Macaca mulatta: one gene and its partner. The protein of the gene in region 1 interacts with the protein of each later gene in a pairwise test. Links are inferred from orthologs where the notes say so. Each region holds a gene or a part of one and is shown on either strand. Other genes may lie near its edges.

Region 1 (10,368 bases):
CTCAAAATGGCCTAGTGGAAGTGTTGAGAGAAAAAGGGGGTTGGAAACTGGCAGAGAGAAAGCTCATGCTTAGGGGCAGGGTCTGGAAGCTGGGAGTTGGCGGACAGCCAGGTACTAGGACTCCAGACTGTGTCCCCCAGATCACTACATTCACAGGCCTCAGTAGCTCAGAGGTGACTGAGGCAGAACCTCTTTCCGAGGCATCACCTTCTGTGATGTTGTGATACCAGGCAGCTAAGCAATGGCTTCCAGCACTATTTTCAGCCTGGGCTGGAGAAGGAGTAAGACTCCTTCTCAGAAGAAAAAAAAAAAAAAAAGACAGGATCTCGCTTTGTTGCCCAGGCTGGAGTGCAGTGGTGCAATCTGGGTTCACTGCAACCTCTGCCTCCCAGGTACAAGCGATTCTCGTGCCTCAGCCTCCTGAGTAGCTGGGATTACAGGCCTGCACCACCACACCCAGCTAATTTTTGGATTTTTAGTAGAGACGGGGTTTCACCATGTTGGCCAGACTGATCTCAAGTGATCTGCCCACCTTGGCCTCCCAAAGTGCTGGGATAACAGGTGTGAGCCACCACACCTGGCTGAAGAAGGTGACATCTGCAAATATCTTGCTTAGTGACCATCAATTTAAAATGTTGTCTGCTTTTAACATATTTATTAAAACATTACCAGAAAAGCCTGTTTTTGTTTTGTTTTGTTTTTAATCACAAAGAAAGAAAAACAAATATATTCTGTCATTAAAGGTCCATAACTTCTGGCCCTGAAATGTAATCATAGGCTTCAGACCCTTGCTCCACATAGCCTGGGCAGGGATATGCAGCAAGTAACCCAGCTTTCAGCGGAACCAGCCCTGCCTCAGATCTCCTTACTCAGAACCTGCATTTTTTTAAGATTACCAGGGGATTTATGTGCATCTTGAAGTATGCTACCTGTGCCGCACCCACACCCTTTTCTGGAACAGCACTTTCGGGCCACTGCAGGCCCCAGGATCTTCCCTCTGTGGAAGAAACCTGCTTTGGGAAACGACAGGAAGCAGCTTGGGTACTAGGTGCGTAATATTTGGTCGTGAAATCAGGAGAATAATGGGAGAATGGAATATTTTCAGTCACTGGCTCTCAGTGAGCAGTGAAAAAAACTAATGCCCTTGTGAAATGCAGGCATTAGCTGTATTTTTTGCCCTCCTCCCCTAGAACACAGTCCAGTAAAAAACGGGGGCTATGACTTTCAGGTAGCAAGCGCGCTCACGTGGCCTATACGTTGCACGGGGTGTTTTGCACCCGGCCCTTCACCACAGGCTTGGGACGCCACAGCTCCCCTCCAATGGGGAACAGCCACAATGGCTGCTGGGCCAAATGGCACGTGGCGAGCCTGGCTGCCACCATCGTCCAGCCAATAAACAACAGGACTGGGAGCTATTCTGCAATGTAAGTGGCTCCCAGCTGGGCTTGCATTCTCTGTCCTCAAAGGTGCAGGCTGGCTCAGGCTGGCACGGGGGGGCGGGGTGAGGAACCACCTTGTGGGAAGTAGGAGAGTTTATGTCACCAGTGCGCAACCGTGAGCGGGCCGTGTGCAATTCCGCTGGGGGAGTGGTGTCGTCTCCAGACAACCTCTTCCCGCCACAGCCTCGTGGCGCAGTCGGCACGGAGGCGGCAGCCGCCATAGACGTGTGGTGGTCGCGCTGCGCGGGAACACCGGCTTGGAGGCACCTCCGGCAGGTACGGAGCTGGACCCCGGGCTTAGACAGCAACTCAGATTGCGGGGGATCCCCCCAATAATCCTTGCTATTTTCAACGGGGTCTAGGGGCTGGTGGCCATAGGTTTCCATGGAGGCGGGATCCCACTAGATCACACACAGCACCCCGAGGAATCCCTGCCATTTCCAGGCAGAACTTCAGGGAGACCTGGCCAGGCGCGGTGGCTCACACCTGTAATCCCAGCACTTTGGGAGGCCAAGGCGGGTGAATCACCTGAGGTCCGGAGTTGGAGACCAGCCTGGCCAACATGGGGAAACCCGGTCTCTACTAAAAATACAAAAAGTAGCCGGGCATGGTGGCATACGCCTGTAATCCCGGCTACTCAGGAGGCTGAGGTCGGAGAATCGCTTGAACCCAGGAGGCGGAGGTTGCAGTGAGCTGAGATCATACCCTACTGCACTCCAGCCTGGGTGACAGAGTGAGACTCCGTTTCAAAAAAAAGAAAAAAAAACTTCAGGGAGACGTATTCCACCCTCGACCCTGCCCGGAGACACTGCAGTCAGGACAGTAGCTCTTGGCCCTTGCCCTTGAGGGAAAGTGGCTTCGAACCTTCCCCTCCTAGATTCTGCCTGCTTCCACTGGTGTCGGTGGTGTGGGTGTATGTAAATAACAGGGTGGGGATTGGGGGAACAGGGAAATGGAGGTGGGGGTTTGGGGACATCAGTTAGACTTGCATGGAGGTAGGAGTTGGACTTGGTGAGGGGGCAGGGCTTGGGGTAGGAGTTGGACTGTGGGTGAGGGCAGGGCTTGAGGCGGGAGTTAGACTTGGGTGGTGGAAGGAGTTGGACTTGGTGGGGGGCTAGGCTTGGGGTAGAGGTGCAACTTAGTTGTAGGCAGAGTTTGGCAGCAGGCGTGCAAGTTTTGAGGTGGGGCTTAGGAAGGGGTGCAACATGGCTGCAGGGGTGGGGCTTGGGAGGGAATGAAGTTTGCAGTGGGGGTGGGGCCGCAACCTTACCTTAGGATCCCTTCTGCCCTAGCAGCAGCCCCCCCGCCCCCCACCTCCCTCCTCACCTCCCACCCCTCTCGCCATTCTTCCCCCCACTCCTCCTTCCCCCCCACCCCTCCCCCCTTTCCCCCCTCCTCTTCCCTCTGCCAGTTGTGCAGTTTCTTCTACCCCTGCACCAGGGTCCTAGTGGACACCTATGCAGAATCTGAATTGGCATGGCCTGAGCAGGGACATGTGTGTGGGACAGAATCACAGCAAAATACCTGTGCTTTGCCTTGGACAGATCCAGGGAAGCAGGAACCATCACGCCTGAGTCAGGAACTGCCTAATTGGATAGAGTTGAAGAGCAGAGCGACTCTGAAGTGACTGTGTTATTGCAGCATCTGCGCTGCCAGCAGGGCCAACCCAGAAAGGTGAGCAGCTGTGAGGTGGGCCCTGTTGGGAGGGTCTCTGGAACCCCTGCAAAGAGTGTGGAGAGGGGACTGCCTGCCAGCGTTCACAGACTCTGCAGGGTAGGGCCATCTCTAGGGCAAGAGTTGTTGGTTTCCTGCAGTCTGGCAGTGGGGACCTCATCAGGGTCCCTTTTCTACCTGATTTCAGCTTCCACACAATTGAAACCATGAGCTCCTGTCCTTTCAGCACTCACTCCTCAAGCCCACCTCGCCTTCCCTCTCCCACCCTCCTTTTTGCTGGGAAGCTTTATTGGTTGGAGGCCAATGACATCACCTGTTGCTTCTCAAGGACCTTAGCCTTACCACATGACACTCCCCTGCAATAGCAACCCATGGTCCATGGTATTCTCTGTATCCATGGCAACACTGCAGCTTGTCACACAATCTCCACACCCACCACTCTCATTGCATTGCGCAGAGCTCGGCCATCTTTCTCATCTGTCAGGCGTTCCTGAGAAAGAGGGCCATTCTACCTCTCCTGCTGCCAGCCTTCACTCCAGCAAGGAGGGTGCTGGGTGACCTGAGCCCACATAGCCCTGAGTGAGCAGTGAGGCCGTCTCCTGCCCTCTTCTGCCTGGAGAGCTTGTCAGTGTCCCCAGATGTCAGGCCCTGCCTCCTGACTTTGGCCTTTTCACTACAGATACCCGAAGCACACACAGCAGAGTCCTCTGGACTTCGAGGAGGAACCCACAGCAGGAGGAGGTCAGCAGGGAGTGGTGAGATGAGGAGATCTTTGCCTGGGGAGAACCTCCACCCTCTACCCTCCCCAAAATAACTTGGGGAACCCTGGGAAGAAGGGACTCCATCCCTGCTCGGGGGTGGGGGCAGAGGAGGGGTGCTTGGGGGTATAGGTTGGGGTAGGCATTAACAATGCTCTCATCCCATTTGCTTTGCAGGCTGTGGAAACCTGGGACCACTTCTACCTTCCTACGTGGCAGTGGCTCAGAGTTATTTGAGTGCTGTCAAACTAAGCTGATTGCTGCCCTAGTATTAGATCAGTCCATAGAAAGTGGGAGCAATGGCATTGACACTGCTAGAGGATTGGTGCAAGGGGATGGACATGGACCCCAGAAAGGCCCTGCTGATCATAGGCATCCCCGTGGAGTGTAGTGAGGTGGAAATTCAGGACACTGTGCAGGCAGGCTTACAGCCCCTGCGCGCATACAGGGTGCTAGGGAGAATGTTCAGGAGGGAAGACAACGCCAAGGCAGTCTTCATTGAATTGGCTGACACTGTCGATTACACTACTCTGCCTAGTCACATACCAGGAAAGGGGGGCTCCTGGGAAGTGGTGGTAAAACCCCGTAACCCAGATGACGAGTTTCTCATTAGACTGAACTACTTCCTGAAAGATGAGGGCCGAAGTATGACAGATGTGGCCAGAGCCCTGGGATGTTGCAGCCTCCCTGCCGAGAGCCTGGATGCAGAGGTCGTACCCCAAGTTAGACCCCCACCTTTAGAGCCTCTGAAAGAAAGTATGTGGTACCGGAAACTGAAAGTGTTTTCGGGAACTGCTTCCGCTAGCCCAGGTGAAGAGACCTTTGAAGACTGGCTGGAGCAGGTCACTGAGATAATGCCCATATGGCAAGTGTCTGAGATGGAGAAGAGACGGCGTCTGCTGGAGAGCTTACGAGGGCCTGCTCTGTCAATCATGCGGGTGCTCCAGGCCAACAATGACTCCATAACTGTGGAGCAGTGCCTTGACGCCTTAAAGCAGATCTTTGGGGATAAAGAGGACTTCAGAGCCTCTCAGTTTAAGTTTCTGCAGACCTTTCCGAAGATTGGAGAGAAAGTCTCCACTTTCCTGCTGCGCTTAGAGCCCCTGCTGCAGAAAGCAGTGCAGAAGAGCCCCTTGTCAGTGCGCAGCGCAGACATGATTCGTCTGAAACATCTCTTAGCTCGGGTCTCCATGACCCCCGCCCTCAGAGGCAAGCTGGAGCTCTTGGATCAGCGAGGGTGTCCTCCCAATTTTCTGGAGTTAATGAAGCTTATTCGAGATGAAGAAGAGTGGGAGAACACTGAGGCAGTGATGAAGAATAAGGAGAAGCCATCAGGGAGAGGCCGGGGGGCCTCTGGTAGACAGGCAAGAGCAGAAGCCAGTGCCTCTGCACCTCAGGCCACCGTGCAGGCAAGGTCTTTGAGCGACAGCAGCACCCAGACTGTACAGGGAGGCTTACCCCCATTAGTGAAACGCAGGCGGCTGTCGTGCAGTGAAAGCACTAGGGAAGAAGACTATGGCCAGGCCATGTATCCCAAGGCTGAAAACCAGACTCCAGGCAGGGAGGGGCCACAGGCTGCAGGAGAGGAGTCGGGAAACGAGGCAGGGGCTGGGGCCATGAGCCATCCCAAGCCCTGGGAAACATAGGCTCAGAAGACCCAAGCACTCCTTCCCCTGGCAGGCAGCAGGGACATTTGAACAAAGGGCAGCTTACACTAACAGGGAACTTGATTGGGGCAGAGGGACAGGGAAGCCAGGTCAAGATCAAGCCCCTTTACTTTCCACCAGCTGGAAGGGACTTCACCAACCTAGACCAAATAGCATCTGGTTCAGTGGGGGCCAGGCCCATGGCCCCTAACAGGTATAGGAGACACAAGCAGGGAACAGCTACACTTAGCACAGGGGGTGGCTGGGCTTCAGATGGGGACCCCAACAAAGCAGGGGCTGAAGACGGTGTGGCTGGGGGCTCTGGCCTGGTCATCTGGACACCCCCAAATATCCACCCTGTGAACTTTGAGCTGAGAATGCCCACTGGCACCCAGGCCATGTGGGACCTGGAGGAGCCTGCCTGGGGCCTGCCTCTGCCAGAAGGAGCCAGGGCTGCTGAGGAAGAGCTGTGGGGGAGAAGTGAAGCCCGGCAGGGGAGGCTGCAGGGTCCAGCCCGTCTTTAGGATCATTTACACTGCATGAGGGGAGCCCCAGGAAGGCAGCATTCATGACCCCCTGCACCAGTGAGGAAGAGAAAGAGGAGGAGAATTAAGAAGAGGATGATCAGGAGGAGGAATAGGAGAATAAGGAGGGGCAGGAAGAAAAGGAGGAGGAAGAGGGGGAGGAGAAGGAGGAAGAGGGGAAGGAGGAGGAAGAAGTGTGAGAAGAGAGGACTTGTTGGGGGTGGGTAGTTGTTTTTGGTTTGCGTCATCACCAGGCCCAGGCTCTGCTCACTGCTGTTCCGTGTCAAGAACTCCACCTCTGCTTTGCCGGTGTAGATCTCGGCCAGCAGCTGCTTGTTCTCTTGGGGATGTTTGTGTTTGTATCTGAGCAGCTCCTTTCCAGAGTACCCCAGCGCAGTTCCAGGAGACAGTGGGAAGGAGGCATGGCAGACGCTCACCTTGTGACCGTGACCTTGACTGCAGGAGGACGAACCAGACACAGGACGGAGCAGGGCTGCCTGAGGCTCCCCAGGAAGCTTTGTGCTTTGGCGTTCCACCCCTGTTGTTACTCGTGACTCAGTTTCCTCAACTTGGTGGGGTGTTCCCTGCTATGTTTTCCAGCATCCTGTGACTGTCCTGTGCAGTCTATAAGACAGGGCCCTGCCCCAGCGGGTGGGCTCAGGAGGGGGTTACCTGAAGTGAGTACACATTGCCAGAGCCCACAATCCTGGCAAGAGGTGGATCCTGGGGCCCTGTGGAAGGAGGGATGTGGTAGGGGGAGCCACGGTGAGGGAGGGGCCTGGGACTTGTGACTTGCAGTGGTTGTTTGCAGTGTCTGTCTGTGTTACAATTCCCTTCTCTTCAGCGGTTTCAGTTCATGTTTCTCTTCAATAAATTTTGTTCAGTGTTCCAGCAGTGTCTTGCCTCTTCTGTATGAAACTGGGGTGGGCGGTGGTCTGCTGGGGACGAGGCCACAGTGGCCAGGCTGACATTGGGGTGTGTGTCCATGAGGACCTGTGGTGTGCCTTGGGCTGCATGGAGCCTGGCGACAGGATGCTGGTGGTCATGAGCAGTGACTGGTTGGGTACTAAAGGCACTCCAGGTGCCCTCAGGAATAAGTGGGTTGGATATTGAAGGCTGGGCAAGGGGCAGCAGGTGGGTTCCAGGCCCCTGATTCCTGGCAGCACTGTAGGGGTGTGGCTCAAGGCTTCCAGAAGGGTCAGAGAGGCCATGTGTGCAACCGAGGGCAGAAACCAAGGTCAGAGAAGAACCCCAGGAGGGCCTGGACAGGCAGTCAGAGGCCCTGTGAAGAGCTGTGTGCAGGACTCAGGGGGTGGTGCAGGGGCTGCTGTGTGCCCACCCTCCCAGATCAGGCCGCAGGTGGCCAGCCTTGGCCTAACCACTGAGGGATGTTTGGGGATAGTGTGTGTGTGTGATGGCCAAGGGACAGAGTGTTGGTCAGACAGGGATCCCAAGTGCTTATGTGTCGGGGAGGGGGAGAGGAAGGGCGGGGGGAGCTGCACTTCATCCTGGGTCCTGTTCTGCTCTCTTCCCAGTGTGCTGGGGGGGCCTCTACTCCTGTGTCCTGGGAGCAGGCAGTGGGCCATGAGCTGCAAGTCCAGATGGCCCTGGGGAGTGACCCCTTTCTGTCCTGCGTCCCCGAGGCCCTCTGAGCCCTGGATGCTGCCTGAGGAGGGCTCCCTCAGGGTGGACAGCGCTGCTAATCCGAACACCCCTCCTTGAGCACTGGCCGGAGGGGCAGTCCTCAGTGGGGGCCTGAGGATCCTGGAACCCGCCCTCCTGAGCCCTCCTGGGACTGGCTCTCTCTCCCAACAGGCCAGGGAGCTCGCCACAAATTGAGGGTAGTCCTCGATCAGCCATTTAACTAACCCAGAGTCTGTGGGCAACAGGACTGGGACAACTGATAGGCCCCTCCCTGCACAAGTGCGGGGAGGGGACGGGATCAGTGACTTGGACCTGGCGAGGGTCTCCCAGAGCTCACTCAGTCTGTGCCCACACGCTTCCTCCAGCTGTTCTGGAGCACAGAGCCTCCGACCATCCCCTTGGCTCAGATGATAGCCAGGGTGCCCCAAAGCAGCCTGGGAGCCAGTGCTGGGAATGGGTGGCTGCCCGCCTGGGCTGAGGAACCCTGGATCTAGGCGACCTGTCTGCTTGAGCAGAGCTGCAGTCAGCAGGGCTGCAGGGCGGCAGGGGCCCTGGGAGACACTAGGCATACACAGGCGAGTGCAGGCGTGGGCGGGGGGTAGTTTTGCGGGGCTGTCGGGGAGGGGCAGGGGCAGCAGGTCCCTGGGGCTGGGTCTGCAGCCTCCTCGGCCTGAAGGTGCCTAACCAGTGTCTCAGGGACCCTTGTAGTGTGTCGCATCGGGGTGCCCTGCGGGCATGCCTGTGGCCCCCACTGTGCTCTGCTGTCCCTGCCTTCTTCAGGCTGGGCACAACCCCAGCATGTCTGTCCCTTGTGTCTCAGCAGGGCCAAGTCAACTGCTCACTTTCCAAGGGCCCCTCCAGATTTCAGGGACAGGACAAGAAGAGAGGGCGAAGAGCTTGGCTGACCTTGCCAGAGCCTGTCAGGGCTCCTTGGTTTTCCCTGTTCAGAGTGGACCTGTGTGTGCCGTGAGTGTCTGAGCGGGTGTGTTTGCGCATGTGCGTGTGTGTGTCAGTGTGAGCATGTGCATGAGTTTCTGAGAAAGTGTGTGTGAATCCAAGTGACAGCATGTGACTGCATCACTAAGCATGTGTGAGTGGGAGTGTGTGGGGGAATGAGGCTGTGCCATTGAAGGTGAGCATGCATGTCGCTGCATGTGTGTGACACTGTGAGTGTGTCAATGCGTGTCAGTGTGTGTGTGTGTTTGTGAGTCATTGTGCGTGAGTGTGCTGACTGCAAATGTGGGTGTGTCGATGAGCAGGCATGTATGTGTCATTCAATGCGTGTTTGTCACTCAATGTGTGCGCGCATGTGAGTGCGTCTGGAACGTGAGCGTGTCACTGAACGTGTGCGCGACTGTGTCAGTGAGCGTGTGAGCACACATGCTGGATAGCTGGGTTGTGAAACCTGGAAGGGATCTAGCCAGGGAGTCTGGAAGGCGGTACCGGGAGGAACCAGTTGCTTCCCCACCAGCCTGGAGCCAGGAGACTTTGTTGGGCCTGAAGGACGGGCCCCACCACGGGGCCCCCTGTCCCTTTCATCCTGGCCAGGCCCTTGGTGTGTGCCGGCTTGCAGAGCTCCTACCATGCATTGTGCTTCACTGCACAGTCCTCACCAAGTGTCCCTGGGGGGTGGGGGCACGGGGCATGTGTGGCCTGGGGACAGAAAGGTCCATCGAGGTGCCTTCCCGGGTGCCCAGGGGCTGACCAAGCCCATCCAATAAGCAGCAACCTCGTGGGCTCACAGACGGCTTGAGCAGTGGATGAGGGAGCGGGATCAGAGCCCAATCATGGGGGTTGAGGCTGAGCAGAAAGGACTCAGAGAAGTCCCGTCCTCAGGACTGTCCCAGAATAGACAAGACTGAGTGGGGTCCCATCCTAAGGCCTGTCCCCTGAGCAGGGAGGACTGAGAGAGGTCCCGTCACCAGGCCTGTCCCTGATCAAAGTGGTCTGAGAGAGGTCTTGTCCTCAGGTCTGTCCCCCGAGCAGAGAGGAGTGAGAGCGGTCCTGTCTACAGGTATACCTCTGAGAAAATTAACTGAGATGGGTGCCATCATAAGACCTGTTCCTTAACAAGAGAGGACTGAGTTGGGTCTCCTGAGCAGAGAGGCCTCTCTCCGAAACCTGAGCAGGGGGAACTGTGAAAGGTGCTGTCCTCAACTCTGTCCCTGATCATAGAGAAATGACAGAGGTCTCATTTTCAGGCCTGTTCCATGAGCAAAGAGGACTGAAAGAGGTCCCATACTCAGGTGTCCCCTGTGCAGAACAACTGAGAGAGATCCTATCATCAGCCCTGTCCATGAGCAGAAATGTCCGACAGAGTACAATCCTCAGGTTTCTTTCTGAGCAGAGAGGACTGAGAGAGGTCCCATCTTCTAGTTTGTCCCCTGAGCAAACAGAACTGACAGAGGTCTCATCCTCAGGCAGCCCCTGAGCAGGACGACCGAGAGGACTCCTGTCCTCAGACCCATCCCTGGGCGGAGAGTCATAAGAGAGGTCCTGTCCACAGGCCCATCCTCTGTGTAAGAGGTCAGAGAGGGATCCCATCCTAAGGTCTGTCCCCTTAGCAGAGAAGACGGAGAGTGGTCCTGTCCTCAGGCCTGACCCTGAGTAGAAAGCAGTGGGAGAGGTATCATCCTCCGGTGTCCCCGGGCAGAGAAGACTGAGAGAGATGCTGTCTTCAGGC
Region 2 (10,368 bases), on another chromosome or scaffold:
GGCTGCTCCAACTCCTGAGCTCAGGCAATCCACCTGCCTCGGCCACCCAAAGTGTTAGGATTACAGGTGTGAGCCACTGCGCCTGGCCTTCTTTACTTTTTTATTTTTATATTTTTGAGATAGGGTCTCACTTTGTCACTCAGGCTGGAGTGCAGTGGCATGAACACGACACACTGCAGCCTTGACCTCCTGGGCTCAGATGATTTTCTCACCTCAGCCTCCTGAGTAGCTGGGACTACAGGCATGCACCCCGACGCCTGGCTGATTTTTTGTAGAGATGAGGTCTCATAATGTTGCCCAGGCTGGTCTCAAACTCCTGAGCTCAAGTGAGCCTCCTGCCTCGGCCTCCCAAAGTGTTGGGATTACAGGTGTGAGACACTGTGCCTGGGTGGCCTCCCTTTTGTGTGTAGAAATCATCATCTCTTAATACTTCACCATAAACATATTCAAGTTAAAGCTTTGGCAGACCTCCACAGATAAAGGTTATACTGATCTCTCATGATGGCCTTTAGCACCATATATGCGTTTTATTTTGTTTATTTTTTAAGAGATAGCGTTTTGCTCTGTCACCCAGGCTGGAGTACAGTGGCATAATCATAGCTCACTGCAGCCTGTACCTCCTGAGCTCAACTGATCCTCACACCTCAGCCTCCAAAGGATCTAGGACTATAGGTGAGAACCACCAGACCCAGCTAATTTTGAATTTATTTTTATTTTTTTTGTAAAGACAGAATCTCACTACATTGTCTAGACTTGTGTTTTTATTATAGCACCTATAACATTGCTTTGTCTCCTATTAGAAGGCAGAACCATGTTCCTTTGTTTAAGTCCCTAGGATCTAGCGAACTGCCCAGTACATAGTGTTTGTTTAATACAAATAAAATATTAGTTACAATGTAGCTACAAGTAAGCTAAGGAAATATTAGCCTGCATTAATAGCAGTGTAGTACTCAGAAGTTTTAGTTCCAGCCACCATATTTAGAGATAGTCCTTGGAGAAGTGTAATATCCACCTGGCAGTATAGAGTCCAGTAATGCTGTAATAACCTTGAGAAGATGACTCCGAGGAGTCTGCCCACTTATATTCCAATACATTTTACTGAGATGGTGTACAGTTACAACAGATAGGTCAGGAAACTGGGTGTAAGTCACAGTCTACCTTATCTTTGCTTCCCCCTGGTAGAATGTTGAGTATGTAAATATTATCTCTCCTGGATGGGTGCGGGGATGGTGGAATATAGAGGACTGCTACTGTAGACCAGGAGCTCTTTCGAGGTAGGGACCGTGACTTTTCATTTTTTAGAAAAATGAAATTTTCTATAGTGTCTGGCAGTTAACAAAAGTTTGAAGAATGAAGGAAGTGAACATTTGGGAATAGATCAATGGGAGAATGAAAGGAAGACAGGGTGGAAGAAAATGTGACAAAAATTTAAAAAGGTAATTAAGAGAAAAAGCAAAGGAATACAGGAGGCTTCTTAATACAGTAGTCTTACAAACAGTGAATTGGATTCAGTTTTTAACTCAACATGAATGGAAAAGAAACAAAACCAAAATTAAAAACACTGAGCAATTAAAGCTGCTTTAAACAGAGACTATGGGAAACTGGATAAGATGATGTCTAAGCTTCTATCCAATTTTTTGATCTATAATTCTAGGTTTTATCTCCCCAAAAACGCTTTTAAGTGTAAATGCCAGTTAATGACTATTTATTAAATAGAATTATAATCTACAATGGCACAAAGCAGAAACAAACCGATGTTTCTACTAAAAAAAAAGGTTATGTTACTTTCTTGAATTTTCATAGTTTAAAGAAGAGATTGGCAAATGGATTTGCAAAACTCAGCTTCAGTTTGTTCCCTTGCAACATGCTCAGTGAGTGGTACACAGTTGAGGTCCTTTGCTATCTTTTCCTTTTTTTTTTTCCCTAGGGTACTCTCTCTCCCACCCTTGGGCCTGAGGAGAGATGTCAGATCTTTTTCTTTCAGGTTAGAAGAAATGGCAGAACTTTCCTGGGTTAAATTCTAGACATAATAAAAACTTAAAGTAATTTAAGATGCTATTTGGGGAGGGGAGGGAGTTTAAGGTTCCCTGCCGCACACGGAAATCCAGAGAGCTATTTCTGCTTTACAGAGATCCAAAATCCAAAAATTCTGCTTTGCAGAGATGCCTTGTGTAGAAATTCACAAGGCGAACAGATAAAAGTGAAAAAGCAAGACACCAAAAGTTACAACAGTAACCACCACACCACCTGCCCCCCAAATACATCAGTAATCAAAGATTTCTTAACTTTTTGCTCTTCAAACAATGTGCAGTCCTCAATACAGTAGGAACTTGGTGAAGGCTAGCTGGAACTGTTCTCTGCTTATCTGGTGTAATTCTAAGCTCAAAGGCAGAAACTTTTGCTTCCCCTGCAATATCTTCCTTGGAAGAAAACGGTGCCTAATGCATGTTACTTTGATTTCAGAAACAGAGAGGAGAAAATCAGAAGAGTTGGGTAATTGATTTTTGTTGGGATTAAAAATGACTATTAGTTTTTTACTTTTCTTTTCATGAAGATGCAATTTTTTTGGGGGGGAGGGGCATTGACACTGGCCCAGTGCTATGACATTCCAAAACTGAGAGAATATAAACGTTTTAAAACAGAACACTTGATTTTGACTACTAATTAGAGGAGTGGAATTGAGTAACAAACTCAAACATTTTATTAAAAATAAGCAGACTTTATGCTATGGTATGGTTCCATTTATGTTTATATAATACATTAAGTATTACTCATTGTAAGTACAATAAATATTTGTTGATCCGGTTGATGTAACTGTAAGCCTTGTTCTCAGTCCAGTGAACGTATACATTTTACCGATAATCTGAAAGTATTAATTCCTATACACCAAAAGATTTGCGTATCATCCCCCTCTTGGAATACACATTCACTTGTACATATCCCCAGCCTGCTCCTCGCAACAGAGTTTGCTTTGGGGAAGAAATTTCAGGATCACCTCCAGAAGAAAACACCGACAGCGCTCCTAGAGCCATCGTGGTGTCCAGTAGCAATTTACGGGCTCCAAGCGAAAAAAGAGCGCGGGTCGGCGGCGGTGGTGGTGGCGGGGGCGGGGAGGGGGGAGCGGGAAACTCCATCACAGACGCAAGTGAAAACTCCTGCGGCTTCTAGATTCCATCCAAGAAGGAAAGATCAGAATCAAGATTAGAAAGGAGTGGCAGGGCGGTGCCCCCTGCCTTGCTTTAATTCACGCGCCCCTTGTAACAAGCCACGGATCTGCATCACTCAAGCGGGCTTCCCAGTCCTCATCTCCCCTCTGGAATCACCCGCAGAAGGGTCTTCTCCGACCCCAGAGTGGTAATTAGGGAAGCTCACTGCCGGCAGAAACTCTGCCAGAGGAGAAGGAGCCGGGGGGGCGACGGTTCCCTTAATCGTTCCAGTAAGCCCCTCCGCGTGCCGGTGGGCGGGCGCCCAGGCCCGAGGATGCGGGGCGAGGAGGCGGGTACCGGTGCTTCTCCCGGCAGCCCCCGCCCGCCCCGCCAGGGGGAGCGTCTGCGCCCGACGGCGGCTGCGGGGCCTGGGCTGGCGGCGCAGGGCGGTGGCTCAGCTCGGCGGCTGCCCTCCCGCGTCCCCACCCCCTCCCCGCCCGCCCCCGGCGCGGCCCTGCCCGCCCCCTCCGCCCCCTCCCGCAGCGCCATGCGCAGACTCAGTTCCTGGAGAAAGATGGCGACAGCCGAGAAGCAGAAACACGACGGGCGGGTGAAGATCGGCCACTACATCCTGGGTGACACGCTGGGGGTCGGCACCTTCGGCAAAGTGAAGGGTGAGAACCCCCAGGGCTAGGCTCGACCCCAGCTGGGGAGCCGCACGACTTCCGCTTTCGGCACCTCTTCATCCTCCCCCGTCCGCTGCGTCCCTCCTTTCCAGGGCTGGGCAGCCCCTGTCCCGGATCCTGCGGGAGCTCTCCCCAGCCGCCGCGGGGCTGCGGCGCGGCCAGCACAGCCGGGTGGGGGTGGGGTGGGGACCAGTCGCCATGGCGACGGCGCCGCGGCCGGAGGGGCTGGTAGGTGCGAGGGGCGGGGATGAGGAGGTGCAAACTTTCCCAGGTGGGGCAGGCGGGCGGCGTGGCGCGCTCTGGGTGCTGAGAGGGGGCGCCGGGCGCGATCCCTGGGGAGACAGCCTCTTGTGCGCCCGGGTTGTGCTCCCTTGGCTCAGGGCCAGCCCATCGCTTCCTTGGCGGTCCTCGGCGTTGTCCATATTTCCGTCCTCTGTAGGAGGCCGTCGATTTACCGGCCCCTGCTGTTTCCCGAGAGCGACATGTGTTTCCGCAGAAGTAAGGTTTCTTTGTGGGTAGCCGACATCATTTTTTAAAAAAGGCCATCTCGTCGGAAAGGATCACTGGTTTCCTTCGGAGCAGTTAATGAATATAAACTGGTTCAATATTTGCGATGCATGCTTTACGTTCTGAATGAGACTGTTCCTTTAGTGTTTCCGAATTAACAGGAGTTTCTCCGTGCGAAACTTGGTTGTTAGTTCAGATGTTGCCTCCAGATAGTATTTATTACTTTATTAATACAGTTCGTTTCCACTTATTTTCAAAGGCTATTTGTATTCTAATAAACGATTATTCTAATAAACATTTGAACTTTTGTTTTAAGAAAGGCATATTAGGTGCATTGTACACCATTCGAGTGACGGGTACACTAAAAGCCCAGACTTCACCACTATGCAGTTCATCTGTGTAACCTAAAGCCACTTGTGCCCCTAAAGCTATTGAAATTAAAAGAAAGAAAAATGTGTACTCTTTCAAAACAATATTCTGGAAATAAGCTTGCTCTTCAGTCCACCAATCCTGGCAAAAAAACGTTTAATTGCAAGTTTTGTGAGGTGTGATTTTTTTTTTTTTTTCTTTAAAATATTTGACTTTGCTATAAGGGATACAGAGAAAGGAAGTTTGGAACTGATGAAAATAATTCATGCATTGGCTTTGGATAAATAATAGACTGACTTGCATATACTAAGTTCTTGGTAAATATTTGAGTTGAAAGAAAAAAAGTTTGTGAAAGTCTGTACCGTAACTCAACTGAGCCTTACTCTCCCAGAGCTAAATAAACATTTTCTGATTTTGTCTAGGGTTAGAAGAGAAGAACCCTTCCTTCTCTTGCCATTTTCTGAGTCATAGAATTGGAAAATTGTTGTATATCCCACAGGGAAGCAACTGCCTGAACCTTCTTATGAAAATCGGCAAGGCTGACAATGTCAGGAGGAAGTAAGAAGCAAATTAAGAAGCAAATGCAAGAATTGGGTAATAACAGCCATTGGGACAGGTCCATATAAGGCCAATAAGATGTTTCTGTGCCCTGGAAGTTTTAACTTTATCTTTGGCTATGATATTTCTTGTTAGCAATTACAAACTGCTCTTTAGTTTACAGGTGTTTGTAAAAAAAAAAAAAAAAAGTTCATTTTTGCCCCCACCCCTTCCCAGAGTTCTGCTTGGATTAGGGTGTTCATCATTCCCCTAATATAGACTTGAATGCTTGAATAAAGTCAGGTCTATTTTTTTTTCTTTTTTCTTTTTTTATTTTTGCCGAGATGGAGTCTTGCTCTGTTGCCCAGACTGGAGTGCCGTGGTGCGATCTTGGCTCACTGCAACCTCCGCCTCCTGGGTTCAAGCAGTTCTCCTGCCCCAGCCTCCCGAGTAGCTGGGATTACAGGCGCCCACCACCACACCCAGCTAATTTCGTATTTTTAGTAGAGATGGGGTTTCACTGTGTTGGCCATGAACTCCTGACCTCAGGTGATCTACCCACCTCAGCCTTCCAAAGTGCTGGGATTACAGGCGTGAGCCACGGCGCCTGGCCGATCAGAATCTTTAACCTGTTCATTTTTTAAGTTAACAGTTAGGATGCTTTTTGCCACAAGTAATAGAAAAATCCAGCTTCACCTAGTGAAGAACTTGTCTGTGGTTCTCCAGAGCAGGGAAGGCCAGCATACCTCTTATGAGTCTCATTGGCTCATCCAGTCCCTGTGGCTAGGAATGCCATGGACCAATTGGCTTATGCTTGTATTCCTAAGCAGGCGTTAGCAAGGGGGATGGCATTGCCCTTGGAGGAATGTGACCCTTTGATGTGTGTGTGCAAAGGAGGTGGGTGGGTGGGAGACATATTCTTTTGTTTAAAAATTTGTTTTATTTTTTAAATTTTTCTTTAAGTTTTTGGGGTACAGATGGTATTTGGTTACATGAGTAAGTTCTTTAGTGGTGATTTGTGAGATTTTGCTGCACCTATCTCCGGAGTAGTATATACTGCACCATATTTGTAGTCTTTTGTCCCTCACCCCCTTCCCACTCTTCCCCCCAAGTCCCCAAAGTCCATTGTATCATTCTTATGCCTTGCGTCCTCATAGCTTAGCTCCCACGTATCAGTAATGAGAACATACTATGTTGGTTTTCCATTCCTGAGTTACTTCACTTAGAATAATAGTCTCCACTCTTATCCAGGTCACTGCAAATGCTGTTAATTCATTCCTTTTTATGGCTGCGTAGTATTCCGTCGTGTATATATATACCACAGTTTCTGTATCCATACATTGATTAATGGGCATTTGGATTTGTTCCATGATTTTGCAATTGTGAATTGTGCTGCTGTAAACATGCATGTGCAAGTATCTTTTTAGAATAATGACTTCTTTTCAGAAGGGATTGCTGGATCAAATGGTAGTTCTACTTTTAGTTCTTTAAGGAATATCCACACTTTTCCATAGCAGCTGTACTAGTTTACATTCCCACTAGCAGTGTAGAAATGTTCCCTGTTTACCCTTTTCAACAAATGGTGCTGGGATAATTGGCCAGCCACATGTAGGAGAATGCAACTGGATTCTCACCTCTCAACCTCATAAAATATCAACTCAAGATGGATTAAGGACTTAAACCTAAGACCTGAAACTATAAAAATTCTAGAAGATAACATTGGAAAAACCCTTCTAGACATTGGCTTAGGCAAGGATTTAATGACCAAGAACCCAAAAGCAAATGCAATAAAAACAAAGATAAATAGCTGGGATCTAATTAAACTGAAGAGCTTTTGCACAGGAAAAGGAACAGTCAGCAGAGTAAACAGACAACCCACACAGTGGGAGAAAATCTTCCTAATCAATACATCTGAAAAAGGACTAATATCCAGAATCTATGATGAACTCAAACAAATAAGAAAAAAACAAACAGTCCCATCAAAAAGTGGGCTAAAGATGTGAATAGATAATTCTCAAAAGAAGATATACAAATGGCCAAGAAACATGAAAAAATGCTCAACATCACTAATGATCAGGGAAATGCAAATCAAAACCACAGTGTGATACCACCTCACTCCTGCAAGAATGGCCATAATAAAAAAATCAAAAAGCAGTAAATGTTAGTGTGGATGTGGTGAACAGGGAACACTTTTTTTTTTTTTTTTTTTTTTGGACAGAGTTTCACTCTTGTCAGCCAGGCTGGAGTGCACTGGCGTGATCTCAGCTCATTGCAACCTCTGCCTCCTGGGTTCAACTGATTCTTCTGCCCCAGCCTCCCTAGTAGCTGGGATTATAGATGTGAGCCACCACGTCCTGCTAATTTTTGTATTTTTAGTAGAGATGGGGTTTCACCATGTTGGCCAGGCTGGTCTGGAACTCCTGACCTCAGGTGATCTCACCCACCTCGGCCTCCCAAAGTGATGGGATTACAGGCCTGAACCACCGTGCTGGGCCAGGAGATATCTTCTAAGTACTTGGATAGTGTAGAGGGACAGGGTATATACCTACACATAAATGGGTGTTGTTAGGAGAGAGAAAGGGGGACATGGATACTCAGTGAACAGGCAGAAATGGCCACTATCCTGGTGATCTTGGTAATTAACACCAGTAGCCTTAATTATGCAAGAATTCTTGCAAATAATAGGGTTAGCCATATATTTAGACAATTTGGAATAAAGAAAGCTTTAAAAATTAGTTATATATATTGGTAAATTTAACATGAAGAGGGATCTAATAAAATATATGATATTGATATGCAGAAAAAGTCCCAGCATGATATTCCATGCTTATAGGAAATTTAATCTTGCGGGGAGAGTAGGCTGGAAGTTCGGAGTGATTGTTTCCTCTTATAGGCCAAAAAATTTGTTTGGTTACTTAGTGGTAGCATTTAGAGAGGAAAGTTTACAGAAAACTAGGGTTATTTTGTGATTATGCTTGAATTGTCTTTATTGTTTCCAACGCATCTTTTTTTTTAACTTCTAGTTATCAAGGTGTTAGGTTCCATGCCCTTGTGGGCCTTCCCTCTGCCCAAAAAAAGCATGGATGAGCAGAGTCATATCATTAAAATGGCAGTCTTTGTTAGTTTTTCTAGAGAAGATGATCTCTTTGGTAGGCTGGGTATGTCTTCGGCCAATGAGTTATTTATACATATAAACTATTAAGTTGGTAAGTATTTCTCTTTTTTTTTTGAGATGGAGTTTCACTCTTGTCTCCCAGGCTGGAGTGCAATGGTGCAATCTCAGCTCACTGCAACCTCCACCTCCTGGGTTCAAGCGATTCTTCAGCCTCAGCCTCCCAAGTAGTTGGGATTATAGGCACCCACCACTATGCCTGATTAATATTTTTTTGTATTTTTAGTAGAGACGGGGTTTCACCACATTGACCAGGCTAGTCTCGAACTCCTGACCTCAGGTGATCCACCCATCTTGGCCTCGCAAAGTGGGATTACAGGCGTGAGCCACCAAGCTTGGCTTAAGTTCGTATTTCTGTGTAAAACTGCAATTTCAACTACATAGGTAACTGTACTCTTTGTGAATGAATCATCGAAGTTATTTAAAAATTCCTTTAAGTAAAAAATATAAAGACCATCCTGGCTAACACAGTGAAACCCCATCTCTACTAAAAAAATACAAAAACTAGCTGGGCGAGGTGGCGGGCGCCTGTAGTCCCAGCTACTCTGGAGGCTGAGGCAGGAGAATCACGTAAACCCGGGAGGCGGAGCTTGCAGTGAGCTGAGATCCCGTCACTGCACTCCAGCCTGGGCGACAGAGCGAGACTCCGTCTCAAAAAAAAAAAAAAAAAAAAAAATATATATATATATATATATATATATAAACATGAACTAGAGCTAGTTATATCATTGTGAATGAGTCTTAAAGTGTAAGGTTAGACCTCAAAAGCAAGTTATATAAGAATATGTATAGTCTGCTGTTATTTATATACATTTTAAAAACCACTCATACTATGCTGGTGGAGTATAAATTGGTATCCTACCTCTACATGAGTGTGACAGCATTTATTAAAATTAACCTAACAATTCAACTTCTAGGAATTAGTCTATAGATGTACTCATGTGTATGAAATAATGGGTTATTCACTGCCATATTGTTGTAAATTTTTTTTTTTTTTTTTTTTTGAGACGGAGTCTCGCTCTGTCTCCCAGGCTGGAGTGAGTAGCGCGATCTCGGCTCACTGCAAGCTCCGCCTCCCGGGTTCCCGGCATTCTCCTGCCTCAGCCTCCTGAGCAGCTGGGACTACAGGCGCCGCCACCACGCCCGGCTAATTTTTTTTGTATTTTTAGTAGAGACGGGGTTTCACCGTGGTCTCGATCTCCTGACCTTGTGATCCGCCCGCCTCAGCCTCCCAAAGTGCTGGGATTACAGGCGTGAGCCACCGCGCCCGGCCTGTTGTAAATATTAATACAAAACTTTGGAAGTAACCTTTCTAATAATGTAATAGTAATGGTTTATCCATGTAGTGAAATACTTTTCAAACATTAAGAAAGAAAAAGGGAGGAACTTTGTATATTTTAGAGAACAATTTCCAGGGTGTATTTTTAAGAGGAAAAAGTAGAACAGTGTGTTTAATATGCCTACCACTTATGTATAAAAGGCAGGGGCAAATCTGTATCTTAAGTGTGACTGCTTTTATATATAGAGTGTGTCTCTTTAAAGATACACACAAGCTTCGTTATGTTAGTTGCTCAATATAGGGGACTAGGTACAGGAGGACACTGTTGCACTGTAGATGCTTTTGTACTTTTGAATTGTGTGTATAGTGCAGGTATTGTGTTATCAAAATATATACAATTACATTTATAAAAAACATGAAAAATAATGTTACTATATTTTTTATGGATTCATAACCATGTGAAAATATATAAACATGGGAAACACAAACATCAAATTCAGGATAGTGGTTACTTCTGAGGACAGATGAAGGATAAGGGAATCTGGGAGGAGTCATGCAGGGCTTGAGTTGTATCTGTAATGTTTTATTGCTTAAGCTGATGGTGGCTCATGGGTATGTGGAATGCCCTTGATGTGCTTGAAATGTTTTGTTTGCTTTCTTAAATTACCACCC

What was found. The genes of interacting proteins can lie anywhere in the genome.
Region 2: the proteins of PNMA5 (region 1) and PRKAA1 interact in binary tests that used the Homo sapiens proteins (3 or more experiments, as listed by UniProt). The two-hybrid records come from large-scale screens. The link is inferred for Macaca mulatta from reciprocal best matches to the Homo sapiens genes PNMA5 and PRKAA1.

What each region holds. Positions count from the first base shown.
Region 1 is NC_133426.1:159,261,439-159,271,806, reverse strand, and holds PNMA5 (paraneoplastic antigen-like protein 5), read left to right. Parts: upstream 1-3,561; 5' UTR 3,562-3,692; exon of another isoform or gene 3,693-3,792; 5' UTR 3,793-3,854; exon of another isoform or gene 3,855-3,868; intron 3,869-4,048; 5' UTR 4,049-4,170; coding exon 4,171-5,517; 3' UTR 5,518-6,933; downstream 6,934-10,368.
Region 2 is NC_133411.1:41,868,664-41,879,031, reverse strand, and holds the start of PRKAA1 (5'-AMP-activated protein kinase catalytic subunit alpha-1), read left to right. Parts: upstream 1-3,508; 5' UTR 3,509-3,693; coding exon 3,694-3,820; intron 3,821-10,368. UniProt on the Homo sapiens protein: Catalytic subunit of AMP-activated protein kinase (AMPK), an energy sensor protein kinase that plays a key role in regulating cellular energy metabolism.